Linked DNA regions of Danio rerio. The protein of the gene in region 2 interacts with the protein of the main gene of each other region in a pairwise test. Links are inferred from orthologs where the notes say so. Each region holds a gene or a part of one and is shown on either strand. Other genes may lie near its edges.

The links.
Region 1: the proteins of tbr1b (region 2) and foxp2 interact in a two-hybrid assay, tested with the Homo sapiens proteins (2 studies listed by BioGRID and IntAct, with this or other methods). The link is inferred for Danio rerio from reciprocal best matches to the Homo sapiens genes TBR1 and FOXP2.
Region 3: the proteins of tbr1b (region 2) and caska interact in a two-hybrid assay, tested with the Homo sapiens proteins (2 studies listed by BioGRID and IntAct). The link is inferred for Danio rerio from reciprocal best matches to the Homo sapiens genes TBR1 and CASK.

The regions. Positions count from the first base shown.
Region 1 is NC_133179.1:6,895,465-6,898,217, forward strand, and holds part of foxp2 (forkhead box protein P2), read right to left. Parts: intron 1,509-2,753; coding exon 1,364-1,508; 3' UTR 1-1,363. UniProt on the Homo sapiens protein: Transcriptional repressor that may play a role in the specification and differentiation of lung epithelium. May also play a role in developing neural, gastrointestinal and cardiovascular tissues.
Region 2 is NC_133184.1:53,420,572-53,424,334, reverse strand, and holds the end of tbr1b (T-box brain protein 1b), read left to right. Parts: intron 1-755; coding exon 756-1,605; 3' UTR 1,606-3,291; downstream 3,292-3,763. UniProt on the Homo sapiens protein: Transcriptional repressor involved in multiple aspects of cortical development, including neuronal migration, laminar and areal identity, and axonal projection.
Region 3 is NC_133184.1:35,100,296-35,103,958, forward strand, and holds part of caska (peripheral plasma membrane protein CASK), read right to left. Parts: intron 1,337-3,663; coding exon 1,214-1,336; intron 1,089-1,213; coding exon 1,005-1,088; intron 1-1,004. UniProt on the Homo sapiens protein: Multidomain scaffolding Mg(2+)-independent protein kinase that catalyzes the phosphotransfer from ATP to proteins such as NRXN1, and plays a role in synaptic transmembrane protein anchoring and ion channel trafficking.

The DNA.
Region 1 (2,753 bases), on a different chromosome or scaffold from region 2:
TTTCGGTTTCGGCTCTGAAGTAAATTGACGGATATAAGACATGACACGTCGGACAGTCACAATGAACAGTACATTTCACTAGTAAAAAAAAAAAAAAAACAATGATGAGATGCTTTACGCAAATAATACTAAATGAAACTCAATTTCTGCACTTCCACGAATGGATATTTTGGTCATGATCCATTTATAGCTGCTCTCTTGCTCTACCTGGCTCGAATTCACCAGGCCATATTGAGCACTCCGTCTGTCGATCAAATTACAGCAAAATCATTTCAAATCTTTGTACAGGGCTAAAGGAGATAATCCCAGAGGTTATTCGAAGGTAGTTAGTGAAAAAAGAAATAAGGAAAAGCTTCTTTGTACTAGTCACAGAAGACTGACCAAAGAGTCTGGCGGCTTCTGTCTAAGCTATTGGCCGTTGATAGTGTTGGCTTTGGTTTCTAGCTGTTGCCTGTGACTCTCTGCAGGTAGACAAAGCTTTAGAACAAGGAGGTAAAGAGACTAGAAGAGTATGCAGAAACGCGTTGTGTTTTCTGAGATGCAACTGAATCACACGTCACGGTTTCAGCAGAAGCAGAGCTGCTAGCGAGACCTACGTTTTTTGTGTACTTTTTTTTTTTTTTTGGACGGCTGCAACAGTCTTGATACCACGGTTGTGTTATTGACGTGACTTTAAGAAATGCCATTTACAGTTGGTGGTGTCGCAAACATGACTCGGAATGAACATAAGCTTGCGGGAGGAACATAAACAACAGTGATGAGGGAGGAGGGGGGAAAATTAACAGCAACAACAACAACGGAAAACAGCTTTTTTTTTTTGTTGGTTTTTCCTTTTTAAAATTTCGTCGACATACAGGCAGTGACACTAAATTTCTGATACTACTTCATGTGCAAAAAAAGAACAGAGCAACAACTTGAATTGAACCAGCAATTGCATCTAACACCGACGACTAATGTGGCTTGGATATTCACAAACTTAAAACTTCTTTTTTTTTTGTTTTGTTTTTTTGGCAGTATATGTGGCCGCTGGCTTTCTACAGAACGCACTCGCTCCCGTTTCACTTCAGTTCCGTGAGCCTTGTGTTCGTTATGTGATTTGGCCAAGCGGATTCGGATGAAATCTTGTCCTTTTTGTTGTTCTTCCTTTTGTATGTTTGTTTTTAAAAAGCAGACCTCTCTCGTGTCTGTCCATCTGTGGTCCCTAAAGATCTGCGCTATAGATTTTCTTCGGGGCCAGTCTCCAGATGCATGCTAAATAAATACTCCCGCCTGCTGCGTCCAGTCTTTTTGCTGCGTTTGTGGTTTAGTTAAGGGGCGGGGCCTGAAAGGGGCAGAGCCCCAGCGGAGGGGTGGGGCAAAATAGTCATTCCAGATCCTCCGATAGGTTGCCCTCCTCAAGCTCCCTGTCATCATCCAGTTCAGGACTGTGATTGGCTGTGGTCACCAGTGACATCGGACAGTCCTCGTCCTCCATGTTCAGTGGCTCCTCCTTGACGTGAATGGGAGGCCTAATGAGAGAAATAACCAAGAATACAATTTAGTAAAAGGCCTGAGTGAACATGGATAAAAAGATGGGTAAATTGGGTCAATGTTTTTTAAAAAACTAGGTTTATTTGAATTAAAATACATTATTATGAATATTTGTCATGCATTTCTGCAATGTCAGTAAATTTTCATAATTTTTTTTTCATGTTCCTTTGGTTTGGCTAGGTTGCTGCCATAAGTGGTGTTTGTGAGACAAGCAGGGGGGGGCTCAACTTGCAGTCTGATTGGGTCCTAACGCCCCAGTATAGTGAAGAGAACTCTATACTGCTCAGTAAGCTCCATCTTTCAGATGAGACATTAAATCGAGGTCCTGACTCTCTGTGGTCATTAAAAATTCCAGAATTTGCCCACTGGCCTCTTTTGATCATGGTCACCTAACCATGCCCAAACCATTGGCTTCATCACTTTATTTCCTATCCACTGATTAGCTAGTGTGTGATGTGGGATCTGGCACAATATGGCTGTCGTTGCATCATCCAGGTGGATGCTGTACACTGGTGGTGGATGAGAAGATTCCCCCAAAAATGTTTCAAGCGCCTTGAATCTTCAGATAAAGCACGATATAAATGTAAGGATTAAATGCATTAATATAATGTTAAAGTACAGAGTTAAGTTTGTACTTTAATTTACAAATTTACAAAATGTATATTTTGATAACATTACACATTATTTATGATGAAACGTTTGATTATTTGAATGTGTCTTTTCTAAATATATTTTTAAATAAACCATTTTTTTAACCTGACACTAAAGTTTTGAATGCTACTTAGTAGTAAAAGTAGTAGTAGTAATAATAATAATAATAATAATAATAATAATAATAATAATAATAATGAAGATCTTGACCATTTGCAATGACTATACTGTACTAAAATACAGCAGTCTATTGTAACATCTGTTATGACCAGAGGAAAAATGGTCGTGCTCTTTTTACAATTGGTGAAGTTTGTTCCTCGCCACTGTCGCCCCGGCATGCTTGGTTTAGGACTTCAATGGATTTGTTCTTTAGTGTTTGGACTTTCAGCAGTGAAAATTAAACCACACTGAACTAAACTAAACTGAACCTCAACTCTGAAAGCTGGACTGACTTAGTTTCAATCTAGAACTTCTATGTTCAATTTACATTGTAAAATCGCTATAGAAATAAAGATGAATTAAATCTATCATTAAACAAAGATAGCGATTGACCAATCAGAAGCAAGCATTCC
Region 2 (3,763 bases):
TGGCAAAACGTGATTATTCTATGAAGAATAATAATGCGCGTGCATTTAATTTGGTAATCAGCGCGTCTGGTTTTCATAAATCTGTCAAATGACAGAGAAATGATTTTATTGACAGAAATCCCATTGGCCAGTGTATTAATAACCATTTGTGCGTTGTTTGTGATTTGGCATGGGTTTGGATATCTTAATTTTCCTTCCCAGGATCTCATTGTTGCCATGCAAACATTCAATGACCGTCTATTCTTCTTCTTCTTCTTCTTCTTCTTCTTCTTTTTCTTTTTCTTATACTAATAATAATAATAATAATAATAATAATAATAATAGGACAATGAGGTGGCAATAATAATAATAATAATAATATTATTATTATTATTATTATTATTATTATTATTATTATTAGGACAATGAGCTGGTAATAATAATAATAGTAATTATTATTATTATTATTATTATTATCATCATTATTATCCCAATTATTATTATTATTGTATTATCATTGTAGTTCTTGTTGTTACATTATTGTAATTATTAGTTTTGGGTGAAACAACATAGTTATGTTTGATATTTTAATATAACACTCATTTGTGCAATAAGCATATGCATTGTCCGTGTGCGGTGCTAATTTGTTCATTTGCGCAATTACGCGCAGAATATAAAATATTTTGTTCTCCCGCGCGTTTGCGACACTTTATTTACGGTCAGCCACGCATCTCATATGCGAGATTAACGTGTGTTTGTCCACCATCTTTCTCCAGTGTCTACACAGGCTGCGACATCGATCGGTTGACGCCGTCCCCGGGTGACTCTCCGCGCTCTCAGATCATGCCTAGCGCAAGATATGCCATGACTGGTTCTTTCCTGCAGGACCAATTTGTCAGCTCGTATGCCAAGTCCCGCTTTCACCCTGGCGTCGGAGGCGCTCCTGGCACGGACCGCAGCGTCCCACTTAGTAACAGCTTGCTCTCCCCGCAACAAACCGAGGAGACCACGGTGGCCTCCCCGCAGCGATGGTTTGTCACCCCTGCCAACAACCGACTGGACTTTGCCGCCTCGGCATACGATGCTGCTGCGGCTGCTGATTTCGCCGGTAACGCGGCCACCCTTCTGTCGTACGCAGCTGCCGGAGTTAAAGCGCTGCCCCTGCCCGGTGCGGGATGCTCCAACAGACCTCTGGGGTATTACGGCGAGCCACCGGGGTGGGGCACCCGCACACCACCGCAATATTGCAGTAAATCCAGCTCTGTTCTGTCTTGCTGGCCGTCCAACTCCGTAGGGAGCAGAACGACCGCCTCAAGCTACCTGGTCCCGGGACTAGAGGACGGAGACCCCATTGCGCCCGAGAGGTCACCGCTAGGCGGGGCGGATGAGTCCAAACCTAAAGACCTGTCTGAATCCAGCTGGATAGAAACCCCGTCCTCAATTAAGTCGATCGATTCGAGCGATTCTGGGATTTTTGAGCAAGCCAAGCGGAGGAGGATTTCGCCATCTGCCACGCCGGTTTCCGAGACGTCGTCTCCATTAAAATCTGAAATGTTGACGCCGAGGGAATGCGAGAAAAACTGCTCCAAGGACATCGGCTACTACAGCTTTTACCCCCACAGTTAGAAAACTCGGACCGACTAATGCATGGCTCGTGTGTTCAAGGATTCACAAAAGTGACTTATAATCTATTTATGTCCTGCTATTTATTTATTTGTTTATTTATTTGCTCTTATATCCGGTCGCGTCGTTCTAAGGACGCCACGCGTCGAGTTTTAACGGAAAAAAACGGACACTTGATCAAATATGTACGCGGTTTTCGTAACCAAATGACATTTTAAGGTTTTAACTGTCAAACCTATTGTAAGTATGAAAGTACTGTACATAATTGTATTTATCTATTCATTTGTGATTCTTCTCGTTGAATGTTGATGTATAATATAGAAAACCGAATTAGGTTTATGTTAAATGTACTTAGAAAACGTACTTACGTTCGTTAGTTCGAATAGCTACATATATTAAATATTTTGATGTCTGAAAAAATAAGGATACATCTCGTATAGGTTCCAGTTGTGATGACAAAAACGATACGACTGAATTGGAAGTAGCTGCTAATCCGTTGAAAAGCCCGCCAAAAAGAGTTCCTCTGACAGGAAAAATGGCGGACGCATGTCTGTCAGAGGTTGATTTTATGTAAGCTTATATTGATGTTGCTTTTAGAGTCGCGTCGTTTGTTCGTAAATATCATAGTCCGTAGTTTCATTTTGTGAACCTTGTTGAAATGTTTTTAACCACACCAGCGTAAAATCATTTATCCCATTACCTTTTTTGTAGAGATAAAAACATAGACAACCATTCCACGTATTAACAACCCAGGCATTTCATTTGTATTTCATGGGTTGTTTTCTCATGAGGAAAATCGCGAGTTAGGCCTGCTAATGTGTAAAGCTAATGTAATTTGTGGTGTGCTTACTTGCAATAAATATGACAGAATGTGAAACCCCGGGCAAAGTACACAAGCTTCAAGCTAAGCTGATTTCAAAACCAAATATTTGTACCATTTTCTCTACCTGTTCTTGAGGTATATTGAAACGCCAGTCACAATGTGAATTCCGTTGCCTGTTCGATGCATTTTCATAATAAAATGTAGTCATGCAATGCAACAATTAAGATAATCGCCCAGAACAAACTCTTTGGTAGTTCTGTACAATTTATAGATGGATTTTTTACTGCAATTTATAGAAGCCCAAAAGGTAAACAGTAGAGTTAATAACAAAATAACAGACCAGATACATTTAGATAATGAGATTTAAGTGAATATATTTGGGCACATTTTGGTTGTCAAATATAGGCGGTGTGAGCATTACACCTGTGATTTTATATGGTCCATTTCAGGGCAAATTTAATTGGATTTTAAACCCATTCATGACCTGGATTTAAAAAAAACAGACCAATATTTATGTTTTTAAGACCTTTTGAATTAGGGTTTAGATATTGTAGTGACCTGATTCATTAAAACTCTGCTGTAAACACCTTCATAAGCAATTTTGAATGCATCCACAATAAACAGTTAATTTGTTAGTATGGTTGATATTTTAATGTAGTGCAATTACATTGTTTTAGGTTTGACTTGCATCTAGATATTATTACTGCACAATTTAAAACATAACAATATTTTATCAATCATGATAAGAGGTCAATATGATAGACATTTCTGTTTTTTTTTCAGTTATTTAAGCTCGTTTACATCCACATGCAACCTTCATATGTATGTAAATGAGCGGTATGCTATTATTAAACAGGCAGACTGAATCAACTGAGACCATTTACAATTTCTATTTTTTTCACTGTGTCTGAAGGTTAAATAGATTCATAAAAAATCCATTACATCTGTGACTCATAATCTTGGTCTTGGAGTTTTGCACATTATCTGAGGCTTCCTTTACTGAATATTAAATATCATGCTGTCAGAAAAGCCACACATTTTAGTCTTAGGACTGAGATCCTTTGTATTTTGATCTTATTAAATATTCTTACAGTAACTCCAAGACCTGAACTGTCTGATCATACACACTGAGCAGTCATTGAGTAAATTGCATCAAGCTACTCTTGCCTTTTTTATTTGATCTGGCATGCAGAAATAGTCAGTAGTGTGGCAGTCTCATTTTCTCATTTCAGATATTTTTATCTTTATATATATATATATATATATATATATATATATATATATATATATATATATATATATATATATAGTAGTCAACGTTTGTAATGCATCAAAACC
Region 3 (3,663 bases), about 18 Mb from region 2:
CTATTCTGCTGAAAAAAAGCCATCAGAAAATAGCTACACTGTGGCCATGAAAGAGTGGACATGGTCAGAAGCAACACTCAGCTGTATGGTGTTCAAATGATGATTAATTGTTATTAATGGAGTGTCGAGAAATGTTACTCACATCATTAAACCACTACCATCCCCTCTTTGATACCAGGCAGGATAGATAAATGCTTTCATATTGTATTAAAATTCTGACTCTACCATCAAAATATCAAATCATAGATTAAAACAGATTTTTACAATCTAAAATGATGCCTCAGTCACCAGTGCGGCCTTCTGCTACAGTCTTCTATCTACTTTAATGCTGCATATCTTGGTATTACTAATGGTTGGTTGAGTTACTGTTGTCTTTAAATCAGCTCAAGCTAGTCAGACATTCCCTTCTTACCTTAGTCGCTGCCATGAAACTGGTTGACTAGATATTTGCATTAAAGTCAGAATGAAGTGGAAGTTGAAATTTTCCTTAAATATATCGGGTTAAAACAGCTTCTGAAATATATATGTAGGGCCAGGTAGGACTCTGTCCTTCTGGAATTTATTTGATCATTGGATGTTGTGCATTGCTAACAAAACAGAGGTAAATTTGAATGCTAGTTTGCAACTAGATTTGGAGGATTAATATTTACTAACTGTACCTCCAGCACCTTCAAAAAAAAGGATCATCTTTATGCAAACCAAGAGAGAGGCCAATATTCCAATAGAACATGGCAGGAGGTGAAGAATTGTTGTTTCGAGGGGGGTGGAAGTAAAAGGTACTAAATAATGACTATGAGAGCATATTTAAAAAATAATGAAGTAATTTATATGAATATTCTACAATATTATATGTAAAAAAAACAAAACAATAAATAGCAAAATTTAGATTTCATGCTGACTAGCGAGCAATTGAACAGGTATACCTAATAATGTGGTCAGTGATTGAATATTACACCACAGAGCATATACTGAAATTCAGAGACTGTAATGTGCTGATATCTCACTTTTAGTTTCCTCCTGGCATTGAACTTCCTCAGCTGTTCGACGGTCTCAGGAAGGTGGATCTTGTAGGCATAGCGGTCTCTCTCCTGATAGAAAACACATAAGCTTCACATCATTTCATCTCATTAAGCAAGAACAACTAAAGTGCATAAAACAACATCAGTAATATGTCTTATTCCACATCAACACATTATAGCTGTGCAGTTGATACCTTCAGCCAGGGGTGGTTGAGAGCTTCATAGACTGTGATCCTCTCTGCAGGGTCCAGCATCAGCATACGGCGCACCAGATCTTTGGCACTCTCTGAGATGTGGCCCCACTGCCGAGGGTTCATCTGTACAGCAAATGCATATATATAAATGGACAACGCCATATGCTATGAAAGCATTTTCTTTCACTGAAATGGTGCTGGTGACAGAATCAATGTTCAGTAACTGCCAACATTTCCACCAACACTGGTGAACATTGGTATGAGTGACTCCAAATTCAGTGGGCTCTATTTTAACGATCTAGGTGCAAAGTCTAAAGTGAATAGAGCAAAAGCATTAAGAGTGTGTCTGAATCCACTTTTGCTTTTTTAAGGAAAATTATGCTCTGCACTTCGGAGCATGGTCTAACAGGGTTGTGCTTATTCTCTTCATGAGTTATGGGAGTGTTGAGCTTAATATGCATTAATCCAATCATCAACGAGTCTCATCTCCTATTTCCTTTAAGAGTCAGTTATATCGGGCCATGGTGCATTTGCTATTTACATGGCAGACTTAAAACTAAACGCTTCACTAGCGAGAAACGGCTAAACAGACCATCAGTAGAGCGAGGATAAAGAACGAGTCTCCTCCATCTGGCCTCTTTACTTTCTCTTTACTTTACTTTTATCCTTTATTTTACTTCTTTACTTTTGTGGACAAGGAAACGGTGCTGTACGCACTGCACTGAAGACATTGATCAGTCTACATATTTAATTTTGTTTTTTAAATGCAGAGATTTGTATTAAAACTATTTTAAAATTCAGTTCTAATTTCTAGCAAATAAATAAATGAAAAATAATAACTGGAACCTGGAAGTCCTAATCAACATTACAAAGTGTAAAACACTTACAAAGCTCGAGACAAATTTATATTTTGAAAAACATTTTTACCTGTCATCAGACACAATTACATAGAAAAAACTATTTTACCAACGATGAAACAAATTTACATTTTTGTAAAAAAATTAACAAGATGCAAAACACTTTATCAAATCCCGAAACATATTTACTATAGAGTGGGGGAACTATGACGTTACTTTGTTGGCAAAAACCCGGAAGCGAGTTAGCATTTTAGCAATTCCGGTTCCCTTGTCCCAAAGTCAATGAATTTTTTCAATGTGATATCTGTTAAATAAGGTTCGTGGCTAACACTCACTCAAGATACTTTCACGTTTTACTCTACACCATAAAACACATCAGTTACATCACACTTAAATTTTTAAATTGGTTATGTTTCTTTAAAAAGATGGTTGCTATAAAGTTGCTAAATGGGACTACAGGCGATGTCGGGGACAATATACGTCATCGAGCTGAGCTGGTCTGGAGCGCAGCTCGCTTGTGTTAGACATTTGGATTTGTCTGTTACTTAAGTATTTTCATTAATAGTATTTTATAGTTTGTAGTATTTTTCTAATTGGGAATTCATATTGTGTAGATAATGCCTTCACTTGTAAAGGCTGTCGAGACAGACTAATTTGTTAATCACTTATTTTAATTAAACAATATTATGAACATACCAGTGCAGCCTGTCTCTTTCCTGCTCTCAGTGATGCAAACGTGAGAATAAATGTGTAAAATAAAGACATATTACCTGTTATTTTAACGTGATCAAGTGATTTTTCATCGTTTTTATCTTCATCTAAACACATTTAATACTTTCATAACTGCAATATTTACACTCCTCCATAAAATGTATAGCAAATGTGACTGTATGGGCAGCTTTTTGCTGTACTTCATGACAGAAAAGTATATTGAATGTTGCCTATGGGAAAATCCTTTGGAGATTTTATTGAGGGAACCAGTTTTATGCTATCAGCCGATTAGCCTACAAAGTGATGACATAAGTTCCCCCACTCTAAAGTAAATTTGTTTCCGGACTTATTAATTTTTTTCTAAAATGTAAATTTGTTTCGTCCTTGGTAAAATTGTTTTTCCTATGTAATTGTGTTTGATGACAGGTAAAAATGTTTTTCAAAATGTAAAAGTGTTTCACACTTTATAATGTTGTTTTGCATTTCCCGGCCACCGTAGTGATGGCTAAGCAAAGCATGTAAATAAAGTATTGGAGAAACCTGCCCAGCTACTGACCACACAAGTTAATCAACAAAAGTGTTTCTTTAGCCTGAAAGTATCACCCAAAGACAAAGGAAGAGTCATTAAGACCATGCCTCTAGCATTTGCATCACCCTGGCACAGTCAATGCTGAGAAGGCAATTGGTTTTAAGGTCTGTCACACCCTAGCTAGATTATTGTTAATTTGGAACTAGATTATTTAAATTTATCTTCCCACATATCTATTTTGATACTTTATTGTTTTCATATGTAAAGATATTTGTGTATTGCTGTACATCCTGTGTATATTAAGCTCTTGAATCTGCATAGGCACATACCTAACACACTCTGCGCAGGACTTT